Macaca mulatta: one gene and its partners. The protein of the gene in region 2 interacts with the protein of the main gene of each other region in a pairwise test. Links are inferred from orthologs where the notes say so. Each region holds a gene or a part of one and is shown on either strand. Other genes may lie near its edges.

Region 1 (7,213 bases), on a different chromosome or scaffold from region 2:
GCAATCAAGAGAAAAAGAAAAAGTGAAATACAAAAATATTTTCAAAACCAACTAAATAAAAATGTTGATCATTTTAATGATACCAAGAAAAGATTTTTAAAAGCTATCATAATATTTTAATAATAATTATTATAGGGATGTATAGAAATAAAAATCAGATAAAAGGAACTACAGGTGATCAGATTTTACTTCTTAGAGAAATAACCAAAAAAAAAATTCAAAACAATGTCGTTCACGAGGTCCCCAAATCCTGTAGTACTCTAATATCTACTAAAAAATACTATATGAAATAGTCTTAATATGGAGGACAGGTATAATTCTTATATTTTGAGACATTTTGAGATATTTTACTTAACTTTAAAGAGTTTAGGCCGTGCGTGGTGGCTCACGCCTGCAATCCCAGTACTTTGGGAGGCCAAGGTGGGCTGATCACGAGGTCAGGAGATTGAGACCATCCTGGCTAACACAGTGAAACCCTGTCTCTACTAAAAATACAAAACATTAGCCGAGCGTGGTGGCGGGTGCTTGTAGTCCCAGCTACTCAGGAGGCTGAGGCAGGAGAATGGCGTGAAGCCGGGAGGCAGAGCTTGTAGTGAGCCGAGATCATGCCACTATACTCCAGCCTGGGCGACAAAGCGAGACTCTGTCTCAAAAAAAAAAAAAAGAGCTTAGTAAGAATGAATCTGTTTACTAAAGACTGACTCTTCCTACCACAAACTGAACTGCAGAGGTGAGAAAAGTCAACAAATTAATTCTATATGTAATTAAACAAGTATTTACTGAATATGTACTCTATAATAAACATATACTATAAGAGATAAAAAGATGAACACATTTTACAGGCCCCTAGGGAGCTTAAAACATATTTCTAATGTTAAAAACACATGATTCCACTTATTTTTTATTTTTTTTAATTTTTGGAGACAGAGTCTTACTCTGTTGCCCAGGCTGGAATGCAGTGGCACGATCTTGGCTCGCTGCAACCTCTGCCTCCCAGCTGATTATCCTGCCTCAGCCTCCTGAGTAGTTGGCATTACAGGCACCCACCACCAAGCCCGGCTAATTTTTGCATTTTTAGTAGAGACGGGGTTTCACCATGTTGGCCAGGCTGGTCTCGAACTCCTGACCTCAAGTGATCCACCCACCTTGGCCTCCCAAAGTGCTGGGATTTACAGGCGTGAGCCATCGCACCCAGCCCATGATTCCATTTGTAACACCAAATGATATCTATTGATATCTAGACATATGAAGTTAAAAATAATATTGTTACAAATACAAAAAATTCTCAAAATTCTAGATATTTTGATTATCGTAATGGGCTCTGGCATTTCCTCATTTCACATTCAAAGTTTTAACTCGTCACAAATGGTCTCAAAGGTCCATGGTTAACAATGCTTCTCCTGTGGCAAAATGTGAACTTTTGCTGATTTATAGGCACCTTAACTTAAATAGTGATCAACACTGGCATCCGTCACAGCTTCGTTTTCTTTTTCTATAAACAGTAATTCTTTCTTTCTTTTTTTTTTTTTGAGACAGGGTCTTACTCTGTCACCCAGGCTGGAGTGCAGTGGCACAATCTCGGCTCACTGCAGCCTCCGCCTCCCCGGCTCCTTTCACCTCAGCCTCCAAGTAGCTGGGACTGCAGGCATGCGCCACGACACCCGGCTAATTTTTGTACTTTTTGTAGAGACAGGGTCTCACCATGTTACCCAGGCTGGTCTTGAACTCCTGAGCTCAAGCGATCCACCCATCTCAGCCTCCCAAACTGCTGGGATTACAGGCGTGAGACACCATGCCTGGCCAAAAGTAATTCTTATAAGATACTGCTTTTATTTGTAAGCAGAACCTAAGAAAAGAAAGCTAAAGGCAATACAAGTGATGGAAGGAAATAAAAAGTAATAAGGGGCATTCATTTCCAGCAATATAATGGACCAGAGGTATCCTGACCAACTCTTGCTGAAACCATATTACAAACGCCAAGTTTTCCAAAATATATATTTAAATGCTTTGGTAAGTTGACAAGTGAATAAGAAATATATTAGAGGCCAAAGCTAAGAGTAACTGGGAACCCAGAGAACATGTTTGATAAATCAGTTTGCCTTTGATAGCCTCAAAGAACATAGAAAACAGGGCTCACCCAAGGTGGGGACTGGAACAGGGAACCCTAAAAGGCGAATGAGAACTCAATCTTGTAGGAATTTTGGATTCGAGTCCTTTGTTGGTGATACGTGTTACAAATAACTTTTCCCACCCCACAGCTTCAATCTCTTAATGTTTTCTTTTGATGAACTTAAGTCTTTAAGATATAATCTTTTCCTTTATGACTTAATACTTTTTATATCTTCTTAAAGGCACTTTACAAAGGAAATCTTCATGCTATTTGACAAGAGGCTTGATCTGGCTGGGCACAGTGGCTCACAACTGTAATCCCAGCACTTTGGGAGGCTGAGGCAGGTAGATCACTTCGAGACCAGCCTGGCCAACGTGGTGAAACCCTATCTCTACAAAAAATACAAAAATTGGCGGCATGGTAGCACATGTCTATAATCCCAGTCATTCAGGAGGCGGAGACAGGAGAATTGCTTAAACCTGGGAGGTGGAGGTTGCAGTGAACCAAGACCACGCCACTGCGCTCCAGCCTGGGTGGCAGAGCGAGAGACTCCATCTTAAAAATAAAAAATAAAAATAAAAATAAAAGAGGCTTGATCTCATAAGTAATCAGGGAAATGCAGATTAAAGCCAGACATCTACTTAGTTGAGTATAATATGAAAACAAACAGGAACCAACCTGGGGAGAAAAATGAATATGAAAAAAATATAACCCAGTATACATATTTTTTCTTTTAAAAATAATAGAGATAGTGTTTCATCATATTCCCCAGGCTGGTCTTGAATTCCTGGGCACAAGCGATCCACCCACCTCAGCCTCCCAGAGTGCTGGGATTATAGGCGTGAGCCATCAAGCCCAGCCTAACCCAGGATTTTTAAAGGGGCAAATATGTGAATAAGCATTTCACAAAGAGGAAATCCAAATAGTGGTATTCAGCAAAAATCTTGACTCTAAGGGATGTGAACAGGTTCACCATTCTTCATTTCTAAGAGGAAGTAATTCATTCTGTAAGTATTAATTAATTTGGAGATTTCTGAGTCTCAGAACTTAAACTTTCACGACTTTCAAAATTATAAGGTTCATAATAGTAGGGACTATAGTTGTTTTGTTCAGGTCTAGAATAGTGACTGGCACTATCACACACACCAGAAAAGAGTTAAATACAACAATACACAAATGAAAAGAAGTAGGAAACCACAACGGTCTCGGTGTGAATTACCTTCCTGTGCTCTGACACTAGGAGCCTCAGCTGCATCTCAATGTCATTGCTTGTTACTGACGCGTCGATTGTGGACGCGCACAGAGGTGGAAAGGGAGGAAGGGATGTTGTAGCTCCAGGAGCACACACAGATTTAATTGCTTCCTCACTCATGGGCTTCCATTTGGATTCATCATTCAAATCAAAGACACAGGTTTCTACTGCATCAGACGGTTGACAGTTTCCCAGGAACATCTGATGGTTGAAAACACAACCAATCGTTCGATATGGGTACAGTGGTTTGGGCTGTTCAGCAACTGGAGGTTCATCAGGATTGGCAGGTTTATGGATGTACCTAAAAAAATTAAATAATTTTACATATGAGAACTTAAAAATTAAGAAGGCAGCATCTTACTGAGAAAATTATTCTAACACTTAAGGCCATAACTACTTTTTCAGAACTAGAGTTTAATACTTTTTTTTCTTTATTTCCACAATTTGATTACTCTGTATTAATTGTATGGTACATCTTACAATACTGAAACCAACTCTAAACAACAGAATACATTCTGTGTATACTGTTAAGATCAAAGGCCGGGTGCGGTAATACCAGCACTTTGGTAGGCCAAGGCAGGTAGATCACTTGAGGTCAAGAGTTCGAGACCAGCCTGACCAACGTAGTGAAACCCTGTCTCTACTAAAAACACAAAAATTAGCTGGGCGTGGGAGTGCGTGCCTGTAGTCCCAGCTACTTGGGAGGCTGAGCAACAAGAGTGAAACTCCGTCTCCAAGAAAAAAAAAAATCAAAAAAGTTTGCTTTAGATAACATAATTAAAATAATCTGGTTATGCATTTTTAGGCACAACTAACCAAAACATCACTGTGCATGATTATCAACCAGGGAGAAAAAGGACTCAGGGAAATGAAGAGGGCCCATGGCCAAGCCTCTAGAACACATGCATTTGAAGACAAGATGAAGGAAAAACTGCGAACAGCCAGAGAGGAATAATGAATACTGAAAGACAATTACAAGAAATAAGCTAAGGAAAGAGAATATCCCAGGAAGAGAAGTGAGACAGCCAGGTGGAAAGGGGTCCCCAGAGAAACTCCAACCAGCCTGTGCACTGGGAGGAGCGTACACTGGGGTGGAGCCACACAAGTTCAGCAATTTGCAGTGGGGAGGAGCCTGGCCCCTCCTCTTCCTGAGTGGACCCTGGAAGTGAATCTGCGAGGCGGGAAGCACACTAGCGGGCGCTCTGGCTTTGTGGAGGGTCCCTGTTTCCCAGTTTTTTTCCTTTTTGTCCAATAAATTCCATTTTTCTCCCCCTTCAAATTGCCTACGAGCCTAATTTTTCGTGGCAGTGTGACAAAGATCCAGCTCTTAGCTGAACTAAGGAGGAAGTCCTACAACAGAGGTACTCAGCTCTTTCAAAATCTGATGACAGGCTAAAGTACTTCAAAAAATGTGTCCAGTGGATTGCCAACATGGAGATGGTAACCACATCAAATTTTAAAAAGAAATAATGATTTACAACTTGAACTTATTTTCAGGCTTAGGGATGATCATCAGAAAAAAACATATGCCGGCCAGGCGTGGTGGCTCAGCACTTTGGGAGGCCGTGGCGGACAGCCTGCTTGAGCCCAGGAATTAAAGACCAGCCCAGACAACACAGCAAAACCTCATCCCTCCAAAAAAATTAGCTAGGCATGGCTGTGCACACCTGCAGTCCCAGCTACCCAAGAGGCTGAGGTAGGAGGACCACTGGAACCCAGGAAGGGGATGCTGCAGTGGGCTGTGACTGTGCCACTACACTCCAGCCTGGGCAACAGAGTGAGACACTGCCAAAAAAAAAAAAAAGAGAGAAAACTGAAAAAAAAAAGATGCTAATCATACACAACTAGTAAATATAATTTACTGTTTACGAACATCATGTTGGTAAAGAATATTTGAGGTAAAAATTTTCTTAGAGTTCATTTACTTAGCTGCCATAATTGAAGTACTTTTTTACGTAATCACTAAAAAGGCTCTAACTAAAATCATCAACACGTACCTTCAAGTACCATCAATATGGACAAAAAACCCTTATAATTTAAAATACTTAAAACTTAAGCTGGGCACGGTGGCTCACGCCTGTAATCCCAGCGTGATTGGGGGACTGAGGTGGGTGGATCACCTGAGGTCAGGAGTTTGAGACCAGCCTGGCCAACATGGTGAAAACTTGTCTCTACTAAAATTATAAAAATCAGCCAGGTGCAGTGGCGTGCACCTGTAATCCCAGCTACTGGGAGGCTGAGCCAGGAGAATTGGCTTGAACCTGGGAGGTGGAGGTTGCAGTGAGCTGAGATTGTGCCAGTGCACTCCAGCCTGGGCAACAGAGCAAGACTCCGTCTCAAAAAAAAAAAAAACTTATAACTTCATTTTAATATCCTTATACACTTAGTAGACTAACCTGTGTCCTGTTAAACTCTCCCAAAAAGTGATGGTCCCATCAGTTCCACAAGTCATAACCCATGCATGAGGTACTCCTTTTGCCTTGGTCCCAACACAAACAAAGGCTTCTAATCCATATCCAAGAAGAAGGCTGCACAGAAGGTTAGCATGATCTTCACAGTCACCCTGGAAGATAAGACAAATTAAAATGAAGTATTCGTTCTTCCATATTGTTTCCTCATTACTTACTTAAATACAAAGTTATAATAAAAATTTATTGGCCGGGCACAGTGGCTCACGCCTGTAATCCCAACACTTTGGGAAGCCGAGGCGGGTGGATCACTTGACGTCAGGAGTTGGAGACCAGCCTGGCCAACATAGGGAAACCCCGTCTCTACTAAAAATACAAAAATTAGCTGGGCGTGGTGGTGCACACCCATAGTCCCAGCTACTCGGGAGGCAAGGCAAGAGAATCACTGGAACCCGGGAGGCAGAGGTTGCAGTGAGCTGCAATCGCGCCACTGCATTCCAGCCCGGGCAACAAAGTGAGACTCTGTTTCCAAAAAAAAAAAAAAAAGTTTTATAAAGAACTCACACAACATAGAAAGAAAAGTAGAATTTTTTTTTTTTTTGAGACAGCCTTTTGCCTGTCCTGTCACCCAGGCTGGTGACATGATTCACAGCAGCCTTGACCTCCCAAGCTTAAGTGATTTTCCTGTCTCAGTCTCCCAAGTAGCTGGAACTAAAGGTGTGCACTGCCACACCTAGCTAATTTTTTGTATAAACGGGGGTCTTACTGTGTTAACCAGGCTGCTCTTGAACTCCTGGGCTCAAGCAATCCTCCTGCCTCAGCGTCCCAAAGTGTTGGGATTATAGGCATGAGCTCCTGTTCCCAGCCTGGAATATTTTAATAGATTAATAGCTGAAGGACATGAACAAACAAGCAAACAAGTCATACAGCAAGAAATGCAAATAAATGGAAAGCACTCAACCAATGACTGATAGTATCTATATGTGATAATTTCAAGAAAATATATATATATAGGAAAAATGACTGGCAAGAACAACAACAAAATGCCAACAATGGTTACTACTGGGGAGGTTATATATAATTTTCCACTCTATTTTCCAGATTTTCTTTGAGGTGGTTATATTACTTTCAATTTTAAAAGTTATAAAGACCTATAAAAAACCAGAAAATATTAGCTGGGCATGGTGGTGTGTGCCTGTAATCCCAGCTACTCGGGAGGCTGAGGCAGGAGAATCACTTGAACCCGGGAGGCGGAGCTTGCAGTAAGCTGAGATCGTGCCACTGCACTCCAGCCTGGGCAACAGAGTGAGACTCTGTCTCAAAAAAAAAAAAAAAAAGAAAAGAAAAGAAAATATCTGATACTGTGTTTTGTGAAAAAAATTACTAAGATATTAAACAGTATGGCTACAATTTTGTATTTAAGTGTACGAAAACTACAGGCAA
Region 2 (7,213 bases):
CCCTCCTTGCACAGCCCGAAGTCTGTGATCTTAATGTGCCCGTCCTTGTCCAGCATGAGGTTCTCCAGCTAGGGGAAAGGTGGCCTCAGGTCAGTGCCGCCAGGCTCCCAGGGCCCTGCCCCCACCCCGAGTGCCCGCCGGCGCACCTTGAGGTCCCGGTACACCACATTCTTCTCCGAGTGCAGGTAGTCCAGGGCTGACACGATCTCGGCGCCATAGAAGCGGGCCCGGTCCTCAGAGAACACACGCTCCCGGGACAGGTGGAAGAAGAGCTGTGGGAAGCACGACCTGAGGCACAGCCGTGGCCGGGGCCTCTGCCCCCACGGCCTGCAGGGTTGGGGTTTCTCAGGCAGGGGCTCAGGGCATTGGGCACAGGGAAGGGACCAGCCCCCAGAGGGCACGGGGGCCTGGAAAGTCTCAGAAGCCCTAACTCAGCAGGAACAAGTCACCCCACAGCAGGCAGCTGCCTGGGCAGGCGTCATACCACCCACCCAGCAGGGAGCACCGTCTGGTGCTGTGGAGAGTAGCCGAGGTTCCGGGAAGGACCAGCCCCACTATGGGTGGCCCAGCTGCCAGGGCTGGGTCCACAGGCCGTGAGGCCCATCCCCCGCAGCCCCAGCCCCTACCTCGCCCCCATTGGCGTACTCCATGACGAAGCAGAGGCGGTCGTGGGTCTGGAAGGAGTACTTCAGGGCCTGCAAGGAAGCGGAGCTGGAACTGCAGCCCCACGGGCAGGACAGCAGCCCCACACCACGCTGCCCGATACCATGCTGCTTGATACCATGCCACCCGTAGCCCCACACCATGCTGCCCGACACCACGCTGCCTGATACCATGCTGCTTGATACCATGCCACCCGATACCATGCCACCCGTAGCCCCACGCCACGCTGCCTCACACCACATTGCCCGATACCACGCTGCCCCACACCACGCTGCCCCGCACCACACCCCCACATCACACTGCCTCACACCACATTGTCCCACACCACACACCCCCACATCACACTGTCTCACACCACATTGTCCCACACCACACACCCCCACATCACACTGTCTCACACCACATTGTCCCACACCACACACCCCCACATCACACTGCCTCACACCACATTGTCCCACACCACACACCCCCACATCACACTGTCTCACACCACATTGTCCCACACCACACACCCCCACATCACACTGCCTCATGCCACACCCCCACACCACGCCATCAGGCTGGGCCCTGGCAGCCCCTGAGGCGCCAAGGAGTGTTTGAAAGGTGAGCAAAGTGGCCTGGGCTCAGGTCTCCAGGGCGGGTTGGGACCTCAACAGGGGGCAGTGCTCCCAGCACCAGAGCCCTGGCAAGGGAGGATGCACCCTCCCAGGCAGAGCCACCTTCCTGCCTTCCACCACAGGCGGCTGTGCTTTTAAAGCAAAGGCCCCTTCTGCAGGAGAATCATCCCCAAACACAGTGACCTGGAACTAACCACGTGGCTGGAGTCTGGCCCCCTTCACAGTAAATACCTCCTGGGTCGAGTCCCCAGAACGGGCTCCCCAGGACAGAGCCCGGGCCTCAACAGAAGCCTGGCAGGCAGGGCTGCAGGGCATGGGGAGCTGGGGCCTCCCGGAGCCTCGGCAGAGTGCAAAGACGACCAGGGCCACCTGCCCCACCTGCCTGCACACAGGAGCGGCGAGCACAGCCCCCAGCCCACATCGGGCACCTCCACAGCCTGACCCTCCGGGGCAGGCCTGTCACCAGCGGCAGAATCCGCGGTGCGTAAAGTCCTCACGTGCCCAAGAAGACAGGACATCGTTCCCTAGAGACAGCCCCAGGAGTCGCCACCTGACCCCAGCCCTTCAGCCCCATCTGGGCTCCCACTCACCGTGAGGAAGGGGTGCCTGGAGTTCTGCAGAACACGGTTCTCGGTGAGTGTGTGGGCCACCTCGTCCTGTAAGGCAGGGCTGGGTGAGCTGCCGCCCAGCATCCTCGTCTCCACCCTGCCCCACCACCCCGGCCCCACCTTGGCCACGATGACCTCCTTCTTGAGGATCTTCATGGCATAGTAGCGGCCCGTTGCCTTCTCCTTCACCAGGATCACCTTCCCGAAAGTGCCCTTGCCCAGCAGCTTCAGGTACTCAAACTCGTTCATGGTCTGTGGGCAGGCACCAGGGTCAGCGGGGGGCGCTGCCCACAGTGCCCAGCTGGTCGGCATGTGTCAGGTGGCATGGGGGCCCCAGAGTCACCCTTGGCAGACTTGGAGGCGGAGCCAGGAGAGGCGACCGCTTCACACCTGGTGGCCTGCGGGGCTCAGCGGGGAGTCCGGACTTACAGGGAACACACGGTGCAGCCCTAGCTCAGAGCGTGGGGTTCGGGGAAGGGTGGGGTAACACTGCCCAAGCCTGGCAGGGCTCAGCAGCCCCACTATTTCTCTGACATAGGGAAGAGGACCCACCTGGGAAGCAGCTGCGCCCCACATGGAAAACCGGCCTAGATGGGGATGCTGTGGAGTGCTGAGTGTCTCCTGGGCCAAGCTGGGACCCCATGACCCACCCAGCTCTCCACAGCCCAAGGTAGCCCCAGGCATAGGCAGAAAGGGGGACAGGCCTTACCACACGGTGCTTGGGTTTGGCCAGGGACACCTCCATCTCTTCAGCCCCTGAGTTGTCGCTGGGTGAGCCCGACCGGAAGTCCATCATCTCCTCCTCGTGCTTCTTGAGGCCATCGGCCACTGTCTGGATGGCGGTTGTCCACTCCTCCCTGCAGGAGGTCAGGTGAGGCTGTAGCCCTGCACCTCACCCCATGAGGTCAGGAGCTCCACCCCACGGCTTACACCCACCCTCCAGCCTCACAAGCGGGGTCCCCAGAGACAGCCCTGAGGAGGCCACCCCTTGACCTGGGCTGGCCACACACACTCAGGGTCAGAAAGCCCTTCTGGACCTGAGGGACACGCAGGCTTAGCCCCCAAGTAGGGTTCAAGCCCCCAGCAGGGCTCTGTCCCCACAGGCAAACTCCAACCCCCAGCAGGACCCAGGCCCACAGCAGGACTCCGCCCCCCAGGCTTGCTCTATCACCCAGGCTGGAGTGCACTGGTACAATCTCGGCTCACTGCGGCCTCCGCCTCTTGGGTTCAAGCAATTCTTGTGCCTCAGCCTCCCAAGTAGCTGGGATCACAGGTGTGCACCACCACACCCAGCTAAGTTTTATATTTTTAGTAGAGGCGGGGGTTTCACCATGTTGGCCAGGCCGGTCTTGAACTCCTGGTCTCAAGTGATCTGCCCATCTCAGCCTCCCAAAGTGCCAAGATTATAGATGTCGGCCACTGTGCCCGGTCCCTAGACAGTTTTTATCTCCAGCCTCAGTTTCCCCACCCAACCCCACAGGACTGGGCCAGTTTCCAAACCGGGCTCTGAGGAGGGCCTGGGATCACTGGGGAGTAAGGATGGCTATAGGCAGAGGCGCCCAGCACCCGCCATCCCCACGTCCCTCCTAAGCGCTAGGGCTGCCCAAGTGCCCGGCCTGGCCGCCGCAGCCCACGTACCGCTCCTCGGGAGTCTCCACGTGGAAGGTGCGTTCGATGACAGTGGTCCACTGCAGGCAGCGGATGATGAAGGTGTTGGGCCGGGGCCGCTCCGTCTTCATCAGCTGGCACTCTGCGGGCAAGCAGAGCCTCTGTCTGCATGCATCCCCCTGCCCCTCCCAGGGCCCTCACCACAGTCCCCACCGCACCAGCCAGCTCCCCTTGCATACCACCCACAAGTCCTAGGAAGCCCCACCTCCTCCTCTCTCCAAGCCTCAGTTTCTCGCCTCATAGAGTGGGGCTAGGACCCCCATTCCAGCTCAGACACTCTATTCCAGGTTGAGGCAGCCCCAAAGGGCATCTGGCCCAAGGTCAGGTCAACCCCCCCGCATCGTCCCCTCCTACAGTCCCCTTCCTTCAGTCACTGAGCCCCACCGTGCACCAGGCCTCAGAGGATGAGGGATATGGAGATCCCACAGAGGGGCTGGCATGAGGGGGCCACCCCAGAAAGCAGCTTGTCCCACCTAGTGTAGAAATGTCCTGCTATTTTCCCAATCTCACCCTGAGTACCTGGGAAATACACCTGGGGGCACACGCACACCTGGGGGCACAGCCACACCTGGTGCACAGCCACACCTGGGGCACACCACACCCGGGGCACACCACACCTGGTGCACAGTCACACCCGGGGCACAGCCACACCTGGGGCACAGCCACACCTGGGGCACACCATACCTGGTGCACACCCACACCTGGTGCACACCCAAACCTGGAGCACACCCACACCCAGGGCACACCCACATCTGGGGCACACCCACACCTGGAGCACACCCACACCCGGGGCACACACATATGTGGGGCACAGCCACACCCAGAACAGTCACACCCAGGGCACACCCACATCTGGGGCACAGTCACACCCGGGGCACACCCACATGTGGGGCACAGCCACACTCGGAACACAGCCACACCTGGGGCACACAGTCACACCAGGGGTACACCCACACGTGGAACACACCCACACCCGGGGCACACCCACACTCGGGGCACAGCCACATCTGGGGCACACACACACCTGGGGCACAGCCACATCTGGTGCACAGCCACACCTGGGGCACACACACACCTGGAGCGCACACACACCTGGGGAACACATACGTGGGGCACAGCCATTCCTACTGCACATACACCCTGAGGGCTGTGGGAACGTGCGGGGCCCTGAGAGGTGTGAGTGAGTGCAGTGTGTAGCCGCTGGGGCTCCTTGGCAGGCTCTGGCCCAGCCTGTGCAAAGCAGGAGGGGGCTGAGGGGCCAGTAGGGGGCCTCTGACATTCCAGCATCGAGGCCCTGGCAACCACAAGGGGGCCTGGCCAGGCAGCGAGGGAGCTGTCTTCCAGGCCTGGGGGCCAGGAGGGGGCTCGGGACCAGCCTGGTGGGGAGGGTGGCCTGTGTCAACACAGGCCAGAGAAGTGGAAACCAGTGTGAAGCCCCGGCACACCCACCTCCCACTTGCTCCTGGATGGTCTGATCTGCCCTAATATGCAATCCCCAGGGCCAGGGTCTCGAGCCCACTGCCCCGGAACCCTTCCCCGGAGAAAAGCTCCTGGCCCCTGCCCAGCTCTGCTCCTTGGCCAGGCACTCCAGACCACCCACCTATGGCCTCATCTGAAGGCCCCAGCCTTGCCGGCTGCTCAGGCACCACCCCAGCTGGTACCCACCCGTGTGCCTCCCCAGAGAGCTCCCCTCTTCCTTCCTTCCTGATGCCTCGGCCTGGCGAGCACACCCACAGCACCCGTCCCCAGCAAGGCCCTGTCCCAGGTGCCACCAGGCACACAGCGAGTATCCAGCCTCTCCCTGATCCCTGAAGCCCCCAGCCCCAACCAAGGAGACACTGGGGAGGGCGTGGGGCAAGTTACGCAGCCCTGCCACATACAGATGGCCCACAACTGGGTCCTACTTAGCTACTCAATCACACCTTTGGCTGCCACGGGCAGAGCTGGGCTCCAGGACAGGGACACAGAAAATGGGGACCATGCTGGGAGGCCCACGTGCCCCCAGCCTCCCACCTAGCAGGGCGCCTGGGTCTCCATGCCAGGGTTCCCGTCTAACATGGGTAGGGTCGCACCTGCCCCCGCTACAGGTAGGAAATAAAGCCACAGCAGGGCGAAGCAGGGAGTGTCACGTCTCTCATCTCTGTGGGATGCTCTGGCCAAGGTCCCCCGCTGGCCTTTCTGCACCCGCCCCTTCGTGGGCAAGGAGGCTTCCAGCCTGCAGCCTCACAGAGGGAAGCAAAGGTTCCGCCACGGGGTTTGGGGACCGAGCGCCTGTGCGGGCAGAGGCATGAGCTCTTCCTCGAGTGATGGAGGCTTCAGAGCTAGAGACCCAGGTGGGCTCTATCTGCCCCGCTTGGAGGAGGGGCCCCCGGGTCAGCTGTCCACCCTGAGGCTAGGCTCTGCTACCACTTGTCTGGACCCTCCAGCCTCCAGAGCATGGGCACCAGGGAACTGCTCCACAGTCAGCCAGCATTGGGACTCGGCCCAGAGACCCCCGCCTAGCCAGCCTCAGGACTCAGCTCAGAGACCCCTGCCCAGCCAGCCTCGGCCTCGGGACTCGGCCCAGAGACCCCCGCCTAGCCAGCCTCAGGACTCAGCTCAGAGACCCCTGCCCAGCCAGCCTCGGCCTCGGGACTCGGCCCAGAGACCCCCGCCTAGCCAGCCTCAGGACTCAGCTCAGAGACCCCTGCCCAGCCAGCCTCGGCCTCGGGACTCGGCCCAGAGACCCTCGCCTAGCCAGCCTCAGCCTTAGGACTCAGCCTGGAGACCCCCACCCAGTCAGCCTCGGCTTTGGGACTCAGCCTGGAGACCCCTGCCCAGCCAGCCTCGGGACTCAGCCCAGAGACCCCCACCCAACCCGTGCTTGTTGCTTGCTGGCCCAGAACATGGAGGCTCCAGGGCACCCCCATCGGGGGGCCTGGTGGGCAAAGAGGGCTCCAGCCAACCCCAAATCTGAATCCCGAAAGGCTGAGGGGACACTTACGTGCCACAGAGAAGTTGTTGAGGGGGGCCTCACGTTGGTCCACGTCCTGCGGCCGCTCCTTATAGCCAATGAAAGTGCCATCATTCTTGAGGAGGAAGTAGCGTGGTCGCCAGGTCTTGATGTACTCCCCTACGGACGTGCAGGTGGTGAGGGCCATGCACACTCTACCCGTCAGACCCTCGCCAGGCAGCCAGGTAGCAACTGGTGTGCCAGGACAGATGTGCCTGGGACGCCTGAGTCCCGGGGGGCAGGCGCAGTGGGGGAGCTGTTTCTTAGGGCAAGCGACAGAAACAGCCCTGGGTCAGTGGGAAGGCAGACTCGCCCCACCACAGCGCCCCTCTCAGAAGAGCCACCCCTATCTGTGTGTGAAAACGGGCTGGGCCAGCTGGACGCAGGGGATGGAGTACCATTGACAGGAGGCTGGGAAGAGGTCTGGGCCAATCTGCACAGCCTTCCTGGAAGAGGCAGCACCAAACCAGCCAGTCCCCAGCAGGCACCAGCAGCAGCTCCGGCACCAGCTATGGCCACAGGGGCTGCAGGGCTGAAAGCATTCCCCAATCAACCAGGGTTGGCCAGGTGGCGACAGCAGCTGACAGTGGCATGTGTGGGCTGTCCAGCAGGGCCGCCCCCCGACCCCTGCTACCCACCAAGAGGATGGAGCATGGCGTCAGCAG
Region 3 (7,213 bases), on a different chromosome or scaffold from region 2:
GCCAGAGGTACACAGGCAGCTTCCTGGTGGGTTTCTGCACCTGCCAGTGCTGTCCGGGGATTTGGCCGAAAGATTTTTTTTTTTGAGACGAGGCCTCACTCTGTCGCTCAACCTGGAGCACAGTGGCTGGATCTTGGCTCACTGCAAGCTCTGCCTCCTGGGTTCAAGCGATTCTCCTGCCTCAGCCTCCCGAGTAGCTGGGACTACAGGTGCACGCCACAACACCACCCAGCTAATTTTTGTATTTTTAGTAGAGATGGGGTTTCACCACGTTGGCCAGGATGGTCTTGAACTCCGGAGACCTCAAGTGTTCCACCTGCCTTGGCCTCCCAAAGTGCTGGGATTATAGGCGTGAACCACTGAACCCGGCCCAAAGATTTTTAACTCCACCACTCACTCCCCATCTCATCTAGGGACTAGATTCTTGCCGGAAGGGTGGAGTGTGGGACAGGGCAGCCAGGCCTCTGAACTGACTTTCTTCTCCCAGACTCCCTTGGTTGGCCCCATTGCATCAGCCTAACTTCCTGTTGATGTCAGACAGGCCCTAGTTAGAATGGGAGTGTCACAGACACAGCTAAGCTCAGCACTGACCAATATTTTGTCCCAGAAGAATTCCCACAGGGTTTCCTGTAGAATGATCTTGTGCCCAGCCCAGGAGAGCCAGGGTTCTCCCTGACTCCGCCCTGAAGTCCCCTTAAGCGCTTAAACCATCTGATGGGGACAAATGGAGAGGACAGATGAGGGAGCAGGGTGGAGCCTTTTAGCAGAATGCTCCTCACCCAGAACCCGCTGCTATTCTGCAGCCAGCAAGGATGTGGGGCTGAGAACTGAGGCCAGGGCCTCACAGGAAAAAGGTAAAGGGGGAGGGGTGGGAACTGAAGCTCATTTGCTTCCCCAAGTATCCAAAGGTCTCCTGGATGGAGAACAGCATTGGAGTGAAAACCCCAGCACAAACCTTACTGGGGACAGTGGGCAACCTTGTCGGGTTAGTAAAAACAAATGGTGTGGCCCTGGAAAAAATGAGGGCCAGAGGCTATGAATAAAGCAGTGGATGTGTTTATTCAGTACACCAATGGGAAGAAGCACCCAGATGGGAGGAGTACTAGGGGTAGGAGAAATGCCAGGCAGATTCTAGTGCCAGGGCAAGAAGGAAGATCACTTTGTTTGCAGAACAGGGAGGGCACAGGGATGGCTCTGAGCTCCTACCTGAGAAAGCTTGCTCCTTCTTCCCTTTCTGGATGACCCAGGAGCCCTGGGTTGGGATGCAGTGACCTCATTTCCAGCCCCTTCCCTTCTGGAAATGAACCTCCCTATCTTCACTCAGAAAACAAGGGACTTGGACTAGAGGCACTACACAGCCCTTCCAGGATTCTAAAGGAGGAAGAGTTTCTTCTTCTGTTTCCAAAGCTGCCTGCTAGAAGAGGACTTCAACAGCCATCCCAGTTGGACGTATAGCAGGACCATGGAATTTCCCTTCTGCACCATAGGGACCCACCCTCCACTCTACCACTGTCCATGAAAACTGTTTTTGGTTTTGTTTTTTGAGACGGAATCTTGCTCTGTTGTCCAGGCTGGAGTGCAGTGGTGTGATCTTGGCTCACTGCAATCTCTGCCTCCTGGGTTCAGGCAATTCTCTGCCTCAGCCTCCCAAGTAGCTGGGATTACAGGTGCCTGCCACCAAACCTGGCTAATTTTTTGTATTTTTAGTTGAGATAGGGTTTCACCATTTTGGCCAGGCTGGTCTTGAACTCCTGACCTCGTGATCCACCCACCTCAGCTTCCCAAAGTGCTGGGATTAAAGGTGTGAGCCACTGTGCCTGGCCTAAAACTGATGGTTTTATTTTACATACGACTTGGGACTTCTCAGCCTCCTTTTCTTTCTTTTTTTTTTTTTTTTTTTTTTGACAGAGTCTTGCTCTCTCGTCCAGGCTGGAGTGCAGTGGCCCGATCTCGACTCACTGCAACGTCCATCTTCTGGGTTCAAGTGATTCTCCTGCCTCAGCTTCCCCAGTAGCTGGGATTACAGGTATACAACACCATGGTCAGCTAATTTTTTTGTATTTTCAGTAAAGACAGGGTTTTGCTATGTCGGCCTGGCTGGTCTTGAACTCTCGGCGTCAAGTGATACGCCTGCCTTGGCCTCCCAAAATGCTGAGATTACAGGCATGAGCCACCAAGCCCAGCCTTCTTTCTTTTTTTTTGAGACAGAGTCTTACCCTGTCACCCAGGCAGGAGTGCAGTGGCGCGATCTTGGCTGACTGCAACCTTTGCCTCCCGGTTCAAGTGATTCATAGTCTCCCAAGTAGCTGGGACTACAGGCACACACCACCATGTCCGGCTAATTTTTATATGTTTAGTAGAGACAGGGTTTCACCATGTTGGCCAGGCCGGCCTCGAATTCCTGATCACAAATGATCCGCCTGCCTCGGCCTCCCAAAGCATTGGCATTAGAGGTGTGAGCCACCGCACTTGGCTTCCTTTTCTATTTTTGAGACAGTCTCGCTCTGTCACTCAGGCTGGAGTGCATTGGCACGATCTTGGCTCACTGCAATCTCTGCCTCCCAGGTTCAAGTGATCCTCCTGCCTTACCCTCCCAAGTAGCTGGGATTACAGGTGTGTGCCTCCGTGGCTAGCCCTCCTTTTCTTTCTTTTTTTTTTTTTTTTTGAGACGGAGTCTTGCTCTGTCACCCAGGCTGGAGTGCAGTGGCCCGATCTCGGCTCACTGCAAGCTCCGCCTCCCGGGTTCACGCCATTCTCCTGCCTCAGCCTCCCGAGTAGCTGGGACTACAGGCGCCCGCCACCTCGCCCGGCTAGTTTTTTTGTATTTTTTAGTAGAGACGGGGTTTCACCGTGTTAGCCAGGATGGTCTCGATCTCCTGACCTCGTGATCCACCCGTCTCGGCCTCCCAAAGTGCTGGGATTACAGGCTTGAGCCACCGCGCCCGGCCTAGCCCTCCTTTTCAATTGGTTAGTGTCTTGTGGTTTTCCCACCTTCCCACAGTGGAAAATGGCTCAGGACTGAGTGACATGAAGACAAGCCCAGGGGTTTACACTCAACCCTTGCACCCAAGCTCTGGGCTAAGATTTTGGGGTGCTGAGCACCACCCCTTTTGTAAGGAATTTTGTAAAATTTTATCCAAAGCATCACTCACAACTCCACTTTCTTCACTTAAATAAGGATTTCCGCCCCATTGCTGCCAGGCATACTGAGCTTCACAGTCCCTATTTCTTTTTCCTGGTGCCTGGGCCTGGTTCTCTGAGCCTGGTGGTCACACCCATGACATCTGGCACAGAGTTCTCTAATAATGGGGATACCTAGGAGGTTCCGAGACACCTTACAGTCCTGGGTTAGTAACCTGGATCTCTTTCCACCTCTTTAGGCATTTTATAATCTACCCTTCCCCCTTCTTGTGGGTAAAGTGCTCCTGAATGCTTATGGTCCAAAATAAGACTTCTTTCCTATCCTATTTCCTATTTCCAAATCTTTCTCCAGATCCACCCTAGAGGAAGGGATCAAAATCTTTCACATTCCAGCAGCTGGTGACAGGCCAGAACAGGGAAGAGGTGAGGGCTCAGCTGGCTCCGTAAAGGAGTGCAAATGGAGGAGCAGGATCTCTCTCTGCCTCTCAGTTTTCCTAAACATACTTCTCAATTCCTGGCGAGGACTCCTCCCTCTCCACTTCCTCCCCTAGTCTCCCCAAGGAGGGAGCAGGAGCATCTGAACGCGGAAATCGAGGTGCTAGTCCAGACTGCTCGGTCGGCTTTAGTCATAGCTTGATAATGCCCGGCTCAGGTTTACCACAAGCCACACAGCTGCTTTCCCTGTTCAACCTGTCTGTGACAGAAACCATGGGGGCCCAGGCAACCAGTATCGAGGCGGTGGAATCGGGGTCTTACACACGGTTCTGCGGGCAGGCCACCGGCCAGGACACGCGGGGAGCCACGTAGCCGGGAGGGTGGGGCTGCCCACCGACCCAGGACGCGGCAACGGACCGGGGAGGGCGGAGCTCCAGCAATCGCCTCCCGTCCCCCGCCGGCACCCCCGGGCTCCCACCTGGTCCCGGCGCGGCCTGCGCGCTAGCGAGGTTCGCGCGGTGAAGTACTGCTCGAGCTCCGAGTCCGAGTCCTCTTGGCTGCAGTAGCCACTGCTCGTCGTGCTGCTCCAGGTCATCTCGAAAGAAGGCGTCTCCGCCTCGCCCATCGCCGCACCCGCCCGTCCCCCTGGTCCCGCGCGTCCGTAGCCACCAACCACCGCCCCGGTCGCGTGCGTGCGTGTACGCGTGTCAGTGTGCGCGTGCGCCCGGGCCAGCGCCGCGCCGCAACCGTTAAGACTGAAACGTAGATCGCCGGGATCTAGCTCTTGTGTCATTGGGGGAGGAACGCCGGGGCGGGGACACGCACACTTAGCCCCGAGGAATGACCTCATCGCTCCGGCAGCTCCACTCAGAGACCCCACCTACCACAGGGAACGGGGCGGGTGCCAGCGTCCGCGCAAGCGCACAAGGGTGGCCTCTGGCCGGAGGCGAGGGCGGGAAGGTGCGGGAAGTGCGCGTGCGCGGAGCCTGCGTCCGCCTTGGCTGGGGACTGCTAGCGGCTGGGGTCTGCTAGCAGCCGGTGGAGGCCTTGCGGAGCCGGCAATCCAGGCACCCCTCTCAGCCCTCGCTCAGAATTAGCCTCTCTCTGCCGCCGGGAAATCGGCACTTAGAACGCTCCTTGCGCGCAGCACCCAGGCAGTCTTCGAGAATGCCTGCGCTGTGGCCTGCCCGTCCTCGCCCTTCCCATACGCCCTCGGCCCCGCGCTCACCACGTTCGTGTCCCGCTCCACCGCGGGTTCCCAGCCCAGGTCCCGGGGCCCGCAGCAGTCCAGGCAGACGAGCGCGCGGCAGCGGTAGTGGCAGGTGAACTTGCAATCTGCAGAGAGGCCTAGCCGTGAGGCGGAGGAGCCCCAGGTCGGGGAAATGTCCGGGAGATTGAAGGGAAGCCCCAGGAAGAGGGCCGTTGCCCGCCAGGCTCCGCAGGCCCGGCTTCAGTGTTTTACCTTACACTGCTATGCGGACTTTAATGTTGGCCACCCTGGGTGTCTGGAAACCGGCCGGAAGGCCACAGCAGAGGCCTGCTCAACAGTTGGGATCTCTGTCGCCTAGCACAGAGCTTCCCCTTTCCTCATTGGCAATTAAAAAAAAAAAACCAAAAACCGGAGTCTTCCTTTTGTCACCCAGGCTGGAGTGCAATGGCGCGATTTCGGCTCGCTGCAACCTCCGCCTCCTGGGTTCAAGCGATTCTTCTGCCTCAGCCTCTCGAGTACCTGGAATTACAGGCGCCCGCCACCACGCCCCGCTAATTTTTGTATTTTTAGCAGAGACAGGGTTTCACCATGTTAGCCAGGCTGGTCTCAAACTCGTGACCTCAGGTGATCCACCCGCCTCGGCCTCCCAAAGTGCTGGGACTACAGGCGTGAGCCACCGCGCCCGGCCCTTCATTGGGAACTTCTATGGAATACATCTGCCCATTTACTTGAAGGAAAAACTAAACACCTTTAACCTACCTCTGCCCTCTGGTTGTCATCTGTCTGTACTCCCCTCAGACCAAAACATTGGTCTCTATACACTCTAATCCTTCGCCTTCACTCTCCCATCTACCCACTTCAGCCAGGCTTGCCTCTCCCTCCAGGAAACTGCCCAGGACAGGGTCCTCAGCGATCTATGCGCTGCCAAATGGAATGCAGTGTTCCATTCTCCATTCTCACCCACTCAGCATCATTTGAAGCTTGCTCCCTTTGACTCCCAGGGGCTACACTGCCAGTTTTCCTCCTACCCCCCCTGCAGCTCCTGCTCAGCTCCTTTGCAGATTCTGACTCAACTTCCGTATCTCATGATGAAGTCTGGGCTCAGTCCTGATCGCTGGCCTGGTCTGTCTACACAATCTTCTGCCCCAGATCCACAGCTGAAACACTGACCTAAACCCTCAGATTAGATCCTCCGTGCCAGTACCTTCACTAGGATGTCTAAAAGACGTTTCAAGTGAACATGGCCAAAATTTAATTCCCTTTTCTTCCACCTCACTGCTACCCTTGCCCAGCTTCCTCTTTGCAGCAAAAATGGCCACTATGCTCCCGGTTACTGGAAACAAAAACCCAAACTTATCGTTGATTCCTCCCTTGTCTCTACCTCTGATAAACATGCCCAAATCATCCTGCTTCTTATCTCTATGGCCACTTTATTTCTCTTTGAGAATGCTGCAGTGTCCCAGCCTTTTTCTTCCTTCCTTCCTTCTTTCTTTTTTTTTTTTTTTGAGACAGTCTCAATCTGTCCCCAAGGCTGGAGAGCAGTGGCGTGATTTCAGCTCACTGCAACCTCCGCCTCCTGGGTTCAAGCAATTCTCCCACCTCAACCTCCTGAGTAGCTGGGATTACAGGCACCCGCCACCACGCCTGGCTAATTTTTTTGTATTTTTTAGTAGAGACGGGGTTTCACCATGTTGGCCAGGCTGGTCTTGAACTCCTGACCTCAGGTGATCCACCCGCCTTGGCCTTCCAAAGTACTGGAATTACAGGCCTGAGCCACCGTGCTCGGCCCTTGTTTATTCTTTGTATTCTGTCACAACTTTGTGCTCCCCCCAGCTGAATTTGTGATGTCCTCTTGTACCAGATGAGAGGGTCTCCATGCACATACAGACCTGGGACACCATCTATCCACTAGTTCCTAAATGGGTCAGAGCACTGATGCTCAACCCAGACTCCATGTTACAATAATTTGGGGATTTAAAAAAATTTACTGCTGCCTTGAGTCCACTCCCAGCAGCTGATTCAATGGGTCTGAGGTGGCATCCAGGCTAGAGGGTGGGAGGGCTGTAAAAGCGCCCCTGGTGATTCCAGCTGGTGTCTAGCTAGGGGAGAGCAACCTTTGCTTGCTGGCGATTCCCAGGGGTGCAGAAGGACTGCTGGGTGTGTGGCTGCCTTCCATATTTTAGCTTCTGATTCAAGGGTGTTTGCTAAATACTCAACAAAACTCCTGCTTGCAGGGGGCACACCCAAGGTTCTAACTTTTTCCAGGCTCCCTCCCATAGGTGGGTAACTTCCCTTCACCCCAAAGGTTCTGGAGGGGGTCACAGTGAGTGAATGTTTGAGAAGAGGCAAGCCTGGGAAGATGGACTCCGAGGACAGTAGGCACAAACCCTTTCTCAAGAAAGGCCAAGGCATTTTAAAGATAAGAAA
Region 4 (7,213 bases), on a different chromosome or scaffold from region 2:
TCCCTCCTCTCATGCTTTTCAACTTCTACTTAAGTCCAAGAATAGCAATGGTCACTATAAATGCCATATTCCTTCAAATTTTTACAGTTTTGTGGAATTCTTCATTTGTATTCAGAAAGTAAAAGAAAATTAACAGGAATGAGTCCTGAAGATTTTTTCTAATTGAAAGGGGATATACATATGGAAAATTCATACTTGCCTGCAATCTGCCAATGGCCACTAGGCAAAACTTGCTTCCCTGGCCAGCCTCTGGGTCATCATCTGGGAGGGAAACACCTTCAGAAAGGTGAGGTTAAAAGGTTTAACAGGGACCTCCAACTCAAATGCCTTCAAAACTCAGACAAGTAAAGATTCAAAATAGACCTATTTATGGGCCAGGTACCGTGGCTCACGCCTGTAATCCCAACAATTTGGGAAGCCGAGGTGGGCAGATCACTTGAGGACAGGAGCTTGAGGCCAGCCTGACCAACACGGTGAAACCCCATCTCTACTAAAAATACAAAAATTAGCCAGGCGTGGTGGCATGCGCCTGTAATCTCAGCTACTTGGGAGGCTGAGGTGAGAGAATCACTTGAACCCAGGAGGTAGAGGCTGCAGAGAACCGAGATTGCGCCACTGCACTCCAGTCTGGGTGACAGACAGAGTGAGACTCCCTCTCAAAAAAAAAAAACAAAAAGCAAAACAAAACAAAATACATCCAGTTATGAAGAGGCTAAGCATAAAGCAATAGAGAATGATAAATAAGAATAAAAATAAACAATTACGTAAAATTTACCATATATGCCAGTCATTGTTTTAAGTATTTACATATATATTGATTCCTACCTTTTACCCATGTTAATTATAGTAAACTGGAAATACAAGTCCTACCCAGAGTATTCTAAAAAACTATGCTGGCCAAATAAGGCATATATGAAGACATCCATTCTATGACCATGTTATAGGCAGAAAATGTATGCTTTGCCTCATCTGTGACTTTTAAAGTTAGCAAGCAACCCAAAATGAAGTTATACCAACCATCAATAGTTATTCATGTCCCTTGGAAAAGAGAGAAACCAATGTTTTACAGAGAAAAGGAAGAAGACTGCATTTCTCCCCTATTGTTTGCACAGTTTCTTTTTATCCAGAAAAATAGTACTCCTTGATGCTACACAGAGGTACGAAAGATAACATACTTTAAATGTATGGATTATGTAGTATATAGACTAATTCAAATGTCATTACTACTTCAGTGAAATTTTTTTTAATTACATTAACTACTTTTATTGGGTACCTGCCACATGCCAGGCACTGGGCTGGATGCTTTCCTTAAATTAAATCTAATCCTCACAAAACCCCTATACAGGATGTACTAACTCCAAATTACAGATGAGAAAACTGAGCTTTATAAAGGTCAAGCAACTTACCCTAGGCAATGCCACTAATAAATAACAATGACAGGAATCATACCCAGGTTTTTCCACGTCCAAAGTTTAACCTCTTTCTGAAACACATCACCTTGCTTCTCTTTTCTCTTAGTTTCTGTCTCCCCCAAATCCCTACTTTCCAATAATATCCATGCGGCAGGGAAGTAATAAAGTTGCTAAGATTTGGAAACTCTGACAAGCCAACTTAAAACGTTGATCCCTGCAACCCAATCACCTTTCTCACATTCCGTGTTTGACCTCAAGTTCTAGTAAAGCCAATCTGCTCAAAGCTTGATTTAAAGCCTTTGCAGAGAATATCCTCAATAAGTTATTACAATAAAGGCATTTCCCCCTTTTCCCTCAAAGTCTTGTTCCTAGTTTAGAAAGCTTTCTCAAATTAACTGCATTCAATGTCTATGCTTCTTTGCAAGAAATGCTTAGAACACATACGTTCAGTATAAATTTGTGCATTTAAAGACCACATTCTGTGACATAGCCAACACTGAATCATTTTCCAGCCTGAATTATCTATCTCCTCAACTGGAATAAAAGCTCAATAACGGAAGGGAAAGATTGTGTATTTTACTTTCCTATTTTCTTTCATATTATACAAAAGTACATTTCATATACCAGGTATATAATAAATATTAGTTTTCATGGACTCTGTGAGAAACCAACGGCTCTAAGGGGAAATATCTACTGTTTCACTTTCTTACCTGCTGGGGGCCAGGCCTTGATGTAGCCTGTGCAGTGGACCACCACGAAGTGAGGTTCCCCATCCTTTACAGAGCCAAGTCCATTCCTAGAAGAGTTACAGGAATTAGAAAAAAAAAAATCTACCCAGTAAAACTCAAAGGGCAATGCTGGCTTAGTACCTTTAAGTTTAGGCTCTTAGGAGTTTACAAAACAGGATAATCAGCTTTCCCACCCAAAAATGACCACCACATTTTTACCCTTGCCAAAGTAAAGTAACCAAAAGGTATGCAGTAGGAGGAAAGCAGGTAAAATAGCATAGCAACTTCCTTAAACAGGATTTTCAAGAGAAGTTTTAGAAGTTTAGGAAAATATTGCCAGAAAAAAAAGTAACTGGGAGGTAAGGGATGAAAGTGAGGGCTGCTGAAGGAACAACTACAGTAAGATAGGTAAAAATGTGATGATCTCTACAGGTATTTGGCCATCCCTTTGGTTTTCACCACTTAGGATCTCACCTGCATCTGTTCCTCACAAAGCTCAGCCTATTCACAGAAACTGGGTCCACAGAGCTACTGCCACACCTGTTTCAAAGAACAAAGAGATTAAAAGCAATCAGGCTGCACTATCAAAGAACTTTCCACAGTAATAGCAGAATAACAGGCTCTGGATACAATTAGACATAGAAAATTGGTAATGCTTCTAAGAATGAAGGATAAAGGTAAGTCAGGTTTAGTATTTCTAGAACTTTTAGAATTTGAAGTCAAAATGTTCCATATATTCTTCAAATGCAAATATTCTCAACAACAAGAGTTGGTAAGCTTTTTCTGTAAAGTACCAGATAGTAAGTATTTTCAGCTTCATGGGCCAGAAGGTCTGTTGCAACTAGTCAACTCTAGCATTATAGCATGAAAGTAGCCATAGATAATATGTAAAAATATGGGCATGGCTATGTTCCAATAAAACTTTATTTACAAACAAAGGGCTGTGGTTTGCTTACTCCTGCTCTACATTAACCACAACTTAATGTAATTGCTATAGTTCATTATTATCTCACTCTTGCCTATGTCTTTGCATTAGCCATGTCCACATATTGGGATACTCCTGCCAATGCTACTTTCCCTCTCCCCATTCTATAAAATAAAAATAAAAGTTACATAGGGTTAATACATGTCATGCTCTGTTCTAAATATCTTTACATATATTAATTCATCTAATCTTCATAACAACTTTATAAAGTCAGTATTAACATTATCGCCATTGAGATGATTAAATCAAAGCACAATATAGTCATGTAATCATCCAAGGTTTCAGAAGATAGCATCAAAGCTAGAATTCAAATCCACAGAATATGGATTAAAACAAAATCCAGCAGTCTGAGTCTAGAAGCTACTCTAAGTTACAAGCTGGGCACAGTGGTTCAGGCCTGTAATCTCAGCACTTTGGGAGGCCGAGACAGGCGAATCACTTGAGGTCAAGAGTTTGAGGCCGGCTGGCCAACATGGTGAAACACTGTTTCTACTAAAAATACAAAAATTAGCCAGCTGTGGTGGCATGCGCCTGCAATCCAGCTACTCAGGAAACTGAGGCATGAGAATCGCTTGAACCTAGGAGGTAGAGGTTGTAGTGAGCCAAGATCATGCCACTGCACTCCAACCTGGGCAAAAGAGCAAGACTCTGTCTCAAAAAAATAAATAAATAAAAATAAAAATAAATCACTAAACCACATAATGTTCAATTTTGTGCCTCTCCAAGCAAACCTTTAATATCCTACCCATAATTTCTAGCAACCATCCTTTTAGTACAATGTAGTCAATTTCCATTATATAACCTGAATTTTGTGACCCCAAGATGTCTTTTGTACCTGTTTAGAAAGGACCACCATCTTTTCTACAGAATCCTAAAATATACAGTATATCATTTATAAACACTAAACACTAACTGAAAGACATAGGAAGTCTCAAATTTCTAACCAAAAACAAAAAGAAGAAATGGTCTGAGTAAATGGATATTGCCTTGTGTTTTAATGGGGAAAAAGTACAGGTTTTGTAGTCAGACAACTATGAATTAAAACAAAATCCTGTATCAAACACTATGTAATAGTGGGAAATTCATTTCTTTTTCTCTTTTTTTTTTTTTTGAGACAGTTTTACTCTTTTTGCCTAGGCTGGAGTGCAATGGCACAATCTCGGCTCACTGCAACCTCTGCCTCCTGGGTTCAAGCAATTGTCCTGCCTCAGCCTCCGAGTGGCTGGGATTACAGGTGCACACCACCACACCCGTCGAATTTTGTATTTTTTTTTAGTAGGGACGGGGTTTCACCATGGTGGCCAGGCTGGTCTCGAACTCCTGACCTTAGGTGATCCACCCTCCCCAGCCTACCAAAGTGCTGGGATTAGAGGCTTCAGCCACCGCACCCAGCCAAGTTCATTTCTTTATATATGTTTTTCCATCTGCAAAACGGTAACCATCAATCTTACACTACAGGGCAATTGTGAGGATGAAATAAGATGACAGAAAGCACCTATCATAGTGTCTGGCAAGTTCAGAAACATTAGTTCCTTTACCAAATACTTTATTCTGTGTTACAATCCATCTGGGTAGGGAGAGTTAAGTTTAATCCACTGGAGCTAATCCAACTTAACTCCAACAGAAATAAAACTCTCAGCTCTTGATCCTTCCTATACCAAATCACAATCCTCAGCTTGACACTCACCTCATTCGGCAAATAAATGATCTCCTTGAGCCCATACACATTCTCATGGAAGACTGTTGACCTTCCTTTTTCACTGTTCCAGTCTTTAGATCCAGGATACGCCCTGAAGGAGGATGTGAAGAGCAGTCTGGAGTGCATTTTTGTGTGTGGGGAAGAGGGGGAGAGACACTGAAGGCAAAGATAAGTAAGCATCCTATTCATGCCCTTAATCTCCTTGCTTAGAACTGACCAAGCAGGAGATGATTTTTTTTTTAAGTCTAAAATACTTCAATTATCATCAATGAATCTCACTCTTAAGTTCAAAGGCAGCACTGAAAATAACATTGTGCAAGGAAAAGTAGGAGTGGAAAGTAGTATTAGAAAACAAGAGGCAAGGCTATATTCTCATGCCTGATTATTTGTATACACATACAGACATACATACAGAGTAAACGTCAGTGGTTGAAAAACAAGTAATTTTCTGTAGTCTCAGCTAATCAGGAGGCTGAGGCAGGAGGACTGCTTGAGCGCAGGAGTTTGAGGCTATAGTGTGCTATGACTGTGCCTGTGAAGAGTCACTGTACTCCAGCCTCAGCAATAAAGCAAGACCTTGTCTCAAAACAAAACAAAAATAAAAAATTTTACAAATAAAAAAACCAAGTAATTTTATATGTTATAGAAACATATATATCTGTTTGTCTTCTTTATTATATAGAAACGAAGAACAACTTTTGGGGAAAAGGAAGAACTAGAAAAATGAAATCATAAAAACATACAGGAGGGGAAAACTGGTCAAGTGCAGTGGCCCATGCCGGTAATCCCAGCACTTTGAGAAGCCAAGGTGGGAGGAATGCTGAAGACCAGGAGTTTGAGACCAGTCTGGGCAACAGACAGAACCTGTCTCTACAAAAAATTTAAAAATTGGCCAAGTGTGGTGACATGAACTACTCCTAGCTACTCAAGAAGCTGTAAGAAGGCAGATCACTTCAGCCCAGGAGAGTTCAAGATTACAGTAACCTATGATGCACCACTGCACTCCAGCCTAGGCAAGAGAGTGAGACCCTGTTTCTTTTTGGGGGGAAAAAAAAGGAGAAAAACTAAAGATCAACAACACTAATATGAGTATATTGAAATTTCTTGCATTTTAACTACCAGTTTTTATCTGCTTCCACTTTAAATTTTTTTCTAGAGTTGCTCAAGAATAGATATGACTTGTTTCCTCTAGCCAAACTCTGGCCAAAAGACTGAACATAATAAAATAGGGGAGAAAAAAAGAACAACAGTACAGATACAAACAACAACATAAAACACCTTGTACACCGACCAATGACCATATCTATAGAATAAAAAGCTGTTATCATTGAACCTAGCACAAAGCCAAGCACTAGGAGGTAGAAAAAATACCAGATAATTATCCATACAAATGAGATAAAAGCATGGGTAATTCCCTTAGTATGGAAAAAAAAAAAAAAAAAAGTACTGTAAGTTTGGCTTTTACTGTTCTATTTACACTAATATTAAGATAAATGTAAAATATTATCATTAATGAAATATTTTCTAAGGATGAGCCACAAAGTAGATAATCTCATATGGATAAAAAGAACTCCTTTATATTCATTAAAGGAGAAAATTCTTGAAGTCTTGCCAGAGTCAACAAACCAATTTAAAGGCTAAAACATCTCTTAAGCCTCAGGAAAAAAAGAAGAAAGGGCTTCTCATTCATTTCCCATACACATAACTCTCACCTGTCAGGGCATTTTCCGAAGTGGAAAGCTGCTCACGAAGTTTATCCACATCATCTGGGTGCACCTGATCATAGAGTGTGCTGCCAAACCATTCAGACTGTGGCTGGTTCAAAACAGGAGTCACGGAGTCAGAGACATACACCACCCTGCCTGTCTCACATGAGACAATAAACAGAAAGCCATCTGCTGCCTCCAAGATCAAATGTTTCAGTTCCTGCCCAAGAAAAAGAAATAGAAGTTAATATTGAACTCTGAAAAAACAAGTATTTCTATTCACAGGAAGAAGTAAGACACTTCAGGCCATATGCATCTCTCCATAAGCAACTGCTGGCTCACACCTGATCCACAGTCACAGGTTTCCACCCTAAACGTAGTTACCTTCAAAAATAAGAAAGTTTTTTCTAATACATATTTCTTCACTTTCTCTGTCACTATCCACCTCTTCCTCTCTATCTCAGGATTCAAGAAGAATAAAAAGGCTTGGGCTAGGCACAGCGGCTCACGCCTGTAATCCCAGCACTTTGGGAGGTCAAAGTGGGAGGGTCACTCGAATCCAGGAGTTCAAGACCAGCCTGGACAACAGGGCGAAACTCCGTCTTTACAAACAAACAAAACAAAACAAACAAAAAAAACTAGCCAGGTGTGGTGGCACATGACTGTAGTCCCAGCTACTCGGG

The links.
Region 1: the proteins of AKT1 (region 2) and CEP76 interact in binary tests that used the Homo sapiens proteins (3 or more experiments, as listed by UniProt). The link is inferred for Macaca mulatta from reciprocal best matches to the Homo sapiens genes AKT1 and CEP76.
Region 3: the proteins of AKT1 (region 2) and RASSF1 interact in a protein complementation assay, tested with the Homo sapiens proteins (2 studies listed by BioGRID and IntAct, with this or other methods). The link is inferred for Macaca mulatta from reciprocal best matches to the Homo sapiens genes AKT1 and RASSF1.
Region 4: the proteins of AKT1 (region 2) and ARNT interact in a protein complementation assay, tested with the Homo sapiens proteins (2 studies listed by BioGRID and IntAct, with this or other methods). The link is inferred for Macaca mulatta from reciprocal best matches to the Homo sapiens genes AKT1 and ARNT.

The regions. Positions count from the first base shown.
Region 1 is NC_133423.1:83,351,030-83,358,242, forward strand, and holds part of CEP76 (centrosomal protein of 76 kDa), read right to left. Parts: intron 5,926-7,213; coding exon 5,759-5,925; intron 4,345-5,758; exon of another isoform or gene 4,168-4,344; intron 3,664-4,167; coding exon 3,330-3,663; intron 1-3,329. UniProt on the Homo sapiens protein: Centrosomal protein involved in regulation of centriole duplication. Required to limit centriole duplication to once per cell cycle by preventing centriole reduplication.
Region 2 is NC_133412.1:178,213,724-178,220,936, forward strand, and holds part of AKT1 (RAC-alpha serine/threonine-protein kinase), read right to left. Parts: intron 6,669-7,213; coding exon 6,540-6,668; intron 3,639-6,539; coding exon 3,527-3,638; intron 2,746-3,526; coding exon 2,598-2,745; intron 2,141-2,597; coding exon 2,009-2,140; intron 1,937-2,008; coding exon 1,871-1,936; intron 696-1,870; coding exon 627-695; intron 273-626; coding exon 147-272; intron 69-146; coding exon 1-68. UniProt on the Homo sapiens protein: AKT1 is one of 3 closely related serine/threonine-protein kinases (AKT1, AKT2 and AKT3) called the AKT kinase, and which regulate many processes including metabolism, proliferation, cell survival, growth and angiogenesis.
Region 3 is NC_133407.1:113,812,668-113,819,880, forward strand, and holds part of RASSF1 (ras association domain-containing protein 1), read right to left. Parts: intron 5,148-7,213; exon of another isoform or gene 5,039-5,147; intron 4,924-5,038; coding exon of another isoform or gene 4,912-4,923; coding exon 4,805-4,911; intron 4,457-4,804; coding exon 4,055-4,456; exon of another isoform or gene 2,916-4,054; intron 2,488-2,915; exon of another isoform or gene 2,340-2,487; intron 1,945-2,339; exon of another isoform or gene 339-1,944; intron 1-338. UniProt on the Homo sapiens protein: Potential tumor suppressor. Required for death receptor-dependent apoptosis. Mediates activation of STK3/MST2 and STK4/MST1 during Fas-induced apoptosis by preventing their dephosphorylation.
Region 4 is NC_133406.1:116,275,375-116,282,587, reverse strand, and holds part of ARNT (aryl hydrocarbon receptor nuclear translocator), read right to left. Parts: intron 6,751-7,213; coding exon 6,537-6,750; intron 4,940-6,536; coding exon 4,813-4,939; intron 2,681-4,812; coding exon 2,615-2,680; intron 2,209-2,614; coding exon 2,123-2,208; intron 277-2,122; coding exon 200-276; intron 1-199. UniProt on the Homo sapiens protein: Required for activity of the AHR. Upon ligand binding, AHR translocates into the nucleus, where it heterodimerizes with ARNT and induces transcription by binding to xenobiotic response elements (XRE).